Rattus norvegicus: one gene and its partner. The protein of the gene in region 1 purifies or fractionates together with the protein of each later gene. This does not show direct contact. Links are inferred from orthologs where the notes say so. Each region holds a gene or a part of one and is shown in the gene's direction. Other genes may lie near its edges.

The links.
Region 2: the proteins of Pld1 (region 1) and Arf1 purify together in Homo sapiens (affinity purification with western blotting; 3 studies listed by BioGRID, with this or other methods). This does not show direct contact. The link is inferred for Rattus norvegicus from reciprocal best matches to the Homo sapiens genes PLD1 and ARF1.

Annotation. Positions count from the first base shown.
Region 1 is NC_086020.1:112,820,835-112,825,140, forward strand, and holds the start of Pld1 (phospholipase D1), read left to right. Parts: upstream 1-1,341; 5' UTR 1,342-1,525; intron 1,526-4,306. UniProt on the Homo sapiens protein: Function as phospholipase selective for phosphatidylcholine. Implicated as a critical step in numerous cellular pathways, including signal transduction, membrane trafficking, and the regulation of mitosis.
Region 2 is NC_086028.1:44,511,113-44,515,572, reverse strand, and holds the start of Arf1 (ADP-ribosylation factor 1), read left to right. Parts: upstream 1-1,578; 5' UTR 1,579-1,622; exon of another isoform or gene 1,623-1,914; intron 1,915-4,460. UniProt on the Homo sapiens protein: Small GTPase involved in protein trafficking between different compartments. Modulates vesicle budding and uncoating within the Golgi complex. In its GTP-bound form, triggers the recruitment of coatomer proteins to the Golgi membrane.

The DNA of each region.
Region 1 (4,306 bases):
GCGCAAATCCCTTCTGGGTGTGTCACAGGCGTTGAGTAACTTAACTTTAGCACCTAAGTTCTGCTTGGCGGTGAATGAGTCAGGTTTCCCTTGCCCTGTTTGATTGTGTTACACTATTGAGGAAATCTAGATTTTTATGTTAAAGTAGACTTGTTTAAATAAATTAGAACTTTGTGTAAAAAAAAATAGCAAGCCTTTGAAATTAATGTTATTCCTGGGGTTGAAAGACAGGGGACAGTTGTAGTTATTGTGAGTGTGTTATGTTGAAAGGCCAAATTGAGCAGTATGTCGGGACTCTATTGACTGTGTTTCAGGGCTTAGTCATTTGGAAAAACTTACCAATTACATTTTTGTAGAGCGACAAGTAAATTTACATTGCTTATTTTGAAACCAGGGTATATGTTATTAAAAGACGATGCATTTGAAAATCTCTTTTTAAGCAGGTGTGGTGGTACATGACTTTAATCCCAGCACTTGGGAGGCAGAGACTGGTGGATCTCTATAAATACACAGAGTTAAGTTCCAGGACAGCCAAGGCTGGTAACACAGGGAAACTGTCTCTAAAAAATATTTTTGTGAGTACACATGTGTCTAAGTGTATGTGTTCATGTAGAGATCAGAGGACGACACCTAGGAGATGGTTTTCTCCTTCACCCTATGGGTCCTGAAGTTTTGAACTTGGGTCATCAGGCTTGGCAGCAAGCCCCTTTTCTTGCTGAGCCATTATCTTGGTCCCTTCGGAGGGAAAATACCCCCTTTTATCCTACAAATGTATCTTAAGTGATGAACTGATATAAAGAAAGCTGACTTACAGACTTTCAGACAAGTTAGACCTAACATGAGAAGGTTTGTTGACAGACTTTCCTCGTGACCTACATTAATATTTGGGCATTTGTAATGAAGTTTTAAATTTGTTCTATATTATGGGAAAATGCAAAGCTAGCGATAGTATGAGTTTGACTCTCAGAGACAATAATGCTGTACATCTTCCGACACAGTCTTAAATTACAGTACTGTATGCTTCAGGATCGGCACCCAACTTAGGCAACACTTGAAAAAGTCATTTCATGGCCCCCGGTGGAGGGGAGACTGTACTGCCCTTGTTTAGCGTGAATCAGCCCCTTTAGTGCAGTGTCTTAGGGGACACAAGTGAATCACAGTTCTCTTTGTTTAAGTGTGTGCTCTGGCTTTCTTGGGCAACAAGTGCAAAACTGAAGCCTTAACTCTATTCTGTGTGGCTTTTCTTTTCTCACGGCGGAGCGTCTATTTAGCATATGGGGCGTGGTTTGAGTTCATTATTGAAGCTTATAGGCTAAAGTGCTCTGTGGGTTTGACCCAGTTGAATTTCCTTAGGGAGCCTGCCAAAGTTGAGCTTTGGAACAGGCCGGCTTCCCCTGTTTTTGTGGATTTGTAGGATAGCCAATTTCCCCCCATCTCGACTTTCAACTGCTTTGGACATTAGCTTCATAGGAAGAATTCATTCTTTAGAGTAAAATGGAGCGCCGCTTTTTGCCAGGGGCCCCAGGTTAGTAACGCTTTGAACTTTCTGTTTTGTGTCAGATTTTCTTTCAGTGCCATCAGGGAGATGGGGCGACGATAGGAGAAGGCTTGTGCTATTGCTTCGTTAGAAAAGAATACTTTTGATTCGGTTGGTCCTGCGGGGCTGGGGTGGGAGGGAGTGGTTACGTTTTTTCTGACTAAGATACTTTTTCTGTCAAACCAAATGGAGGAGCCAAGAGGAATGAGCAAACGTGTGCTGGAGTCGTAGTTTAAAGGGTTGTAAGGGTTTGTAAGCATTTTTTTTAACTTCCTTTTTTTTTTTTTTGTAATGACTCTATGTCCTCCTAGTACAGTCAGGCAGAACTCTGATTTTATGCATGGTGATTTTATTTTATTTTTCGAGCTAAGTGGTGTGCTGCATTCTAGCAAGACCCATCTTGCACTCCACTTGTTGGATATGGTTTTCCCTGGGGCCTACTCCTCTGAGTTCCAGCTGATTAGATGTCATGTCACTTTTACTTCAAAGACGGTCCTGTGAAATACCTACAGAATGACTGGTGTGGGTGAAGCATCCAGGTGGGCTCAGGGGGGACTCAGTTCCTCCTGGGTCCGTTGCTGTTTTTATTCAAGTAGCTCCCTAGACTGAGGTCACCCTAAAATAAATATGCCTGTAAAATTGGAGTGTGATGTGTAAGACACGAAAGTAGTGTTAATAATAATAATAAAGAAATGATGCCAATAAAATTAAGAGAATGGCTCCCTCAGTTTCCCCAAGTTAAAGAGCTGGGGAGTAATTGTGCCTCTGTTCATTTGCCCCGGAGCCATCTGGCACGAGAGTACTCTACAAGGGGGGCTCCATTTGACACTGTTTCAAAATGTGTGCTTCATAGGAACTATGGCTTCTCTTTCCTCGTATATGTAAGCTGCATCAGTTCAAATGGATACACGAATGTTTTAAAATATACTAATATATGCTATTATGTGTCTACTATTGCCATTTTCTTCTCTTTTTGTCCCATAGGACAGGCAGTGCGTCAGCGTCTGTTTTATCATCTTTTTCTTTTAATTATTTTTAAGGATGGAGGGAAAAGGGAGACAGAAGTGTTTGTGCATTCATGTGTTTGTGTGTGTGTGTGTGTGTGTGTGTGTGTGTGTGTGTGTGTGCGCGCGCGCGCGCGCATATAAAGTGAAGGCTGCAAGCCATTTCTGATTATGACAGTGGACTTTACACCCAAAGACATAGCACAGTTACATTATTTGTAACTTCCCCACCTCCCCAGATAAGTCCTTTAACCTCCAATCTGCCAGACAACTTTGCCTTCTTAAAAAGAGACAAAGATCGCTCTAGCTTTGCTGTACTTTATTTTTATTTTTTTTTGTTTTCTATTTATTAGATATATTTCTTTATCTACTTTTCAAATGTTATTCCATTTCCTGGTTTCCTGTCTATAAGCCCCCATCCCCTGCCCCTCCCCCATACAGGTGTTTACCTCCCCATCCACTCCCCTTACCACCACCCCCTGCCCCGACATTCCCCTGCATTGGGAGTCCAGCCTTGACAGGACCAAGGACTTCCCCTACCACTGGTACCCCAACAAGGCTACTCTCTGCTACATATGCAGTTGGAGCCCTGGGTTAGTCCTTTGGGTAGTGGTTTAGTCCCTGGAAAAACTAGTTGGTTGGCATTGTTGTTTTTATGGGGATGCAGGATCTTTCAATCCTTCCCCTAATTCCCCCAAAGGGGTTCCTATTCTCAGTTCAGTGGTTTCCTGCTAGCATTCACCTCTATATTTGCTTTGCTGTACTTTAAATGTATACTATCTGTTCATTCCCACTGCATACATATGACTGTGGTGTTACCATGTGTATACTCCCACTGCATACATGCGGCTGTGGTGTTACCATGTGTATGCTCCCACTGCATACATATGACTGTGGTGTTGCCATGTGTATGCTTCCACTGCATACAGCAGTGGTATTGCCTAATTATTAATTATTAAGTGCCTTTGGAAGGCTTGAGAGAGGGTCTCTCTGTATAGTCCTGGCCATCCTGGAATTCACCACATAGACCAAGGTGGCCTTAAATTTAGGTCCTCCTGCCTCTGCCTCCTGAGTACTAGGATTAAAGATCTATGCCACCATGCCCAGCTAAATGCTATTCATTTAAATCTTAAAGGGGAACATTTATCAATCTGATCGCTGATGGTTTTAAAGAAAAATATAAAAGCTATTTCACTCACTGGTCACTTATCTGTGCTAAGTATGAATAAAATTTATACAAACTCACACTGCTTATGTGTCCTGGCAAAAAATCAACTTATTCTAATGTGCCTCTGAGCTTTTCTACCTAGCAATGACACACACTGATAACATATCTCTGGTGGAAATAGAAATAAACAAAACGACACAGAATGTTATAAGTGGGAAACCACCTACAAGCCAGATTTAGGGGATTTCCCAAAGCATATACACACACACACAAAAATACATTTTCTCTGAATATAAGGTGTATGAAGGCTATGACTGTTTGATCTCTAAGAACCAGGGCTGGACTCTCCGAACCATCTGGACTCCCACTTTACAAGAGTCACGTAGTTCTCACTGTCCTGACAGGCAGGTCTGGCACACCCTACATTACTACTCCTTTGGTGCACGGTGAGCAGATATCAGCACTTGACCGTCTCTATGACACCATATCTCAAACTGAGCTTCGAGCTGGTTAATTTTTATCCTGCACTGGCTTCCATTCAAGGTGCTGGGGATGTCCCAGGCCCATCAGGCAGTTTACGACTCAGCTGATGACCTG
Region 2 (4,460 bases), on another chromosome or scaffold:
AGAAGCTGTCTAGGTTTAGTAGTAGGGTCTACTTCAAATGTATCATCCATGACACATGCAGATAGTGAATATCTACAATGGCTGTTTAAATTTTAGCTGACACAAATAATTATTTATGTGGTACAGGTGACTTTTTTTTTTTTTTTTGGTTCTTTTTTTTCGGAGCTGGGGACCGAACCCAGGGCCTTGCGCTTCCTAGGTAAGCGCTCTACCACTGAGCTAAATCCCCAGCCCCTACAGGTGACTTTTTGAGTAGGACTACAATGTATAGGGGTGACATTAGGATAAAGAGGACTACCACCCTGTCTCTACTTCTTCAGTTTTGCCTTTTTAGGTACAGAAAGGGAGTTTGGTTCTTGATGAACCTGTGGTTTTTCTAGACACCCCATTTCTTTGTCTCCTTATCCATGAAGTGGCTAAGACAGGCTTCTGACATGGCTGAAATCTCAGGCCTCTGGAAACGTCCTGCCATTTCTCCAGGGTGTGTATAGGCAGCACCACCTTATGTTTTTCACAAACACTTGCTGTGTGCTGAGGGTGGGAGAGAACAGGCAGGTGCCCCCAGAGAAATTTACAGAAGCAGCATTTAAAAATGGAGCCCTGAGTGATGGAAAGGGATGCGTTTAGGGTCAAGAAGGTGATTATTGCATAGAATCCTGGCAGGCTCACAACTCTGGGGAGGGTTCTAGAGGTCTCAACCCGCAAACGCAGTGAGGATGCCCTGCACCCTGTGTCTTGACACAACAGTGGCTGAAGTAAGCCCAGGCAACACAATTGCCTCCTGCCAACTCAATAGATAAGGCTCCAGGCTCAAAAGAATCTCCTAAGTCCCTCAAAATCTCCTGCCTGTGGGAGTCCTCACAACAGCACATGGAGTGGAAGAACTGGACAGGGAGGACAGAACCTGGGCCTCACTCCAGCACAGATGGGGAGAGTTAACGGATTCCACCTTCTCTCCTGCACCCTGAAGGAGGCCACCCCATTAGGGGCAACCCAGAGTAGCCTCTCAGGCAGTGCTATGCCCGCACAGGTCTCTAGTCCTCTCAGTCAGCTCTGAGTGTGCACACGGGTCCAAGACGAGTGTAGGGACATGGTGTTTGTCTGACATTTGGCCTGTGCTTCTTCCCACTTTGGCCATTTGTCTGTTACATCATTCTCTTCAATGCCCCGACTCAGCTGAAGTATCAGAGACCCTGGGGTACTCTGAGAAGGACATCACACTCCCAGGGGTAACACGACCTTCCCACTCTGACCTTGGCGCTCTAGAACGCTTACTGGCCTCAACCCCCGCATCCGCGGAATGGGCTGGAATTCCGCAGGAAGATGCGCGTGCGCACGCGCCGTAGGACAGGGAAATCCATGCACCACACCCTTGCGCGTTCTAATCTCCGGAGCCGGTGTGCTAGCCCGGGACCCGATCCGGAAACAGAGCGACTTTGGCTCCACCCAACGAAGGCGTCAGGGTGCAGACGCGCAAGCGCTATTCGTGAAGGGGCGGGGCCTCCTGCGTGCCCGCCCTCTTCCCCCGGCGTGCCCCGCGGCAGGCGCTGACGTGGCTGCCGTCAGCGCCGCCATCTTGTGGGAGCGAAACCAACGCCTGGCTGGGAGCAGCCGCCGCGGAGGTGAGAAGCGGGGCTCTCTGAGGCCGAAGCTGGGGAGGCCACGGGCTGGTCATCGTGGGAATCGCGGGGCTCTCGGCTGCGGCTGCTAAGGACCGAGTCTGGTCGGGCGGCCTGAGGTCTGTGCTCAGTGGGCTCGGCGGCAGGCCGGACAGAAGATCAGGGCGCCCCCAAGTCCCGCGTCGCCCACGGCCGCTTGGCCCTCCCCCACTCCGCGGCCCTTACGCCAGGCCGCCCGCCGCGGGCCGCAGCCCGGAAGTCCGGCCAGGACGCCGGCTCTTCTCCAGGAAGCCAGGTTTCCTGCTGTTCCTCTCTGCGCCCTTCCTAGGCTCCACGGCCCGGGAGCCCGTTGCGGGGAGCAGGGCTCGGGGGTCACGGAGTTTCCCTTCTTAAAGGCTAACCGGCAGCTTCAGAAACGGCATGAGCCTTGGGCCTGGGGAAACTGAGGCTCGGGTGGCCCTGAGACGGCGTCAAGGTCACTCGGGTGTCGAGGTCTTCCTCCTCTGTCTCTCGAGTCCTGTTCCTGTCGGCCTAGAGGACCGAAGTTGTAGGAAGGGGGAAGGGAAAGGGACAGGTGTCGGACAGGGACTCGGAACTGATGACCGGGTGCTGGGATTTAACACATATTCGGATCTCAGGGGATCCCAGAATGCCCACTGTGATCCCCAATTAGCCGTGATTTGGCCCCGCATACCCTCGATGAGATCTGCAATGGGGTCTGCACTCTAGAGCCCAGTGGCCTCTGGAGGGGTTTGAGCGTTATTTCGCCTCTTGGCTGACTCCCTTTATGCTTTTGGTGGATTAGAAAAGGCCATTCTGAATTGGAGAATCTTTAACCTGCCCATGGAATAACCTGCTCCCAGCCTCTGAGCAATATGCAGGTACAGAGGCCAGATCCAGTACAGGATTCTGGCTGTCTATTCAGGATGGTCATGCCATGTCAGGTTGTAATGTACATATGTTATGTGGTCTAGCCACATATAACAAACACTAAATGCCAGGGAATCTGCTTGCATCAAGAAGGAATTCTCCCATTCAAACAGCAAGTGGCTGCTTTGTCAGGAAAGGAAGGGTCAGCTGCATTTGGTCCCAGAAGTCACTGGAGGGCCCAGTAGTTGATGCCACAACCCATGTTGGAGTAGTCTGTTGTAGTTCTTGTTTCACAAGTAGTAGTGGTCAGCAGTTTTTCCTGCAGGCTGATTCTGGTGTTTTCTGCTGTGACTGTCAGAATGGTGAGATGCCATGGTGCTTTGTGTGCTGGCCTCATGTCTCTCCACTGTCTTAACCAGTATCTACAGTGTCTGACATGGGTGACTGTAAAGTCCTCACCTTTGAGCTTTTAGCAGGGCTATTAGAAATAGCCTAGACTGTGAGATTTGATGCACAGTATTACTACCTGGTTTCTGCTGTGGTCAAGGGCCAATCGCAGATGTGGGAGCTACATTGTTGGAGTTACATTGTCTCCACAGCATAAAGGTTTCCCTCATTGGAATGTCGATCACTTAGCCTTAGGTTTGAAAATGGGTCTGAGTCACTGGATCATCACATTGTTCTCTTGTTTGTGAGGCAGATGTACAGAATTGCTACTTCAAAAAGGTTTAGGAGCGGAATAGTAGAGTGCTTTTCTAGCCTGCATGAAGTCTTGGTTTGGTCTCTAGCACTGCACACAAGGTTTAAGACAGTGTGAATAACAGCTGACTCATACTCAGTCTACTCATCCTGAGAGGAAAGTAGCAATAACTAGTTCTGTGCCCCACACACACAGTTCTAATTGTAAAATCATGCAGCTGGGATGTCCACTACACCTCTTGCACCTTGTAGAATGGATGTCCACAATCTTCACTCCAATGGGCTGCTTCCTCTGCCCAGGACCAGACAGGCTTCAAAACACCTTTTTTTTTTTTTTTTTTTAATGTAAAGGTAAATTAGACAAGCAGTTGCTATGGTAACACAGTGTCAGGAAGCCTAACCAAGAGAAAAAACTTGTTGTGCAAGTTCATGCAATAGCTTGTTACAATGGTTTGAAAGTGTTGGGTCAAGTTGTTTTTTTTTTTTTTTTTTTTTTCTTTCAGATTCTTAGAATTAAATGTTACATTGATGAGCAGGGTTTTTCTGTGTCCCCTGGCTGTCCTGAAACTCCCTCTTGAGACCAGGCTGGCCTCATACTCAGAAATCTGCCTCCATAGTTGGAATTAAAGACATAAGCTACCACCTCCTGGCTCTGATACACAGGTTTAAATCTACTCTTAATCACAAGGGCTATGTCATTTGCACTGAGGAGCCATCAGTGAGTCCCATTAGACCCAGCGTGCTCTAGGCTGCTATGTCATTCATGGTCTTTCTTCCCTGTTGGCTTTCTTGAATCCCTTTGAGCTTTTATATTCATGAAATTGTTAGAGATGGTGAGGAGAGAAAAATGAAAATTTCTTTGATTCGAAATCTTGACAAGCAAGAGCATCTTTTTGTGTATGCTGAATCTACTATTGAAGATTTGACACTGCCTACTGAGAAGCTAAAGGTAGCTGGGGTGGGAGTGTGTATACATTGGGATTCCTCATTACACACCAAGGTCTGTGTCCAGTATTGATTGTGATACAGATTACAGATAATAGCTTGTGCAGTTTGTCAATGTCTGAAAGGTAACAGCCCTCTCTGGTGGGTCAAGTGACTTGATAAGCTGGAAAACTTGTTAGTGGAGGCACACCCAGTCTCTTTATTTCCAGAGGGACCTTTTAGGTGGTCACCCGAGTTCCACCACCCTGTCCTGCTACACAGATAGTGGTGAGACAGATTAGAACCCAGCCTCCACACACTCTGATCCTCTTTACTGATTTTTTTACT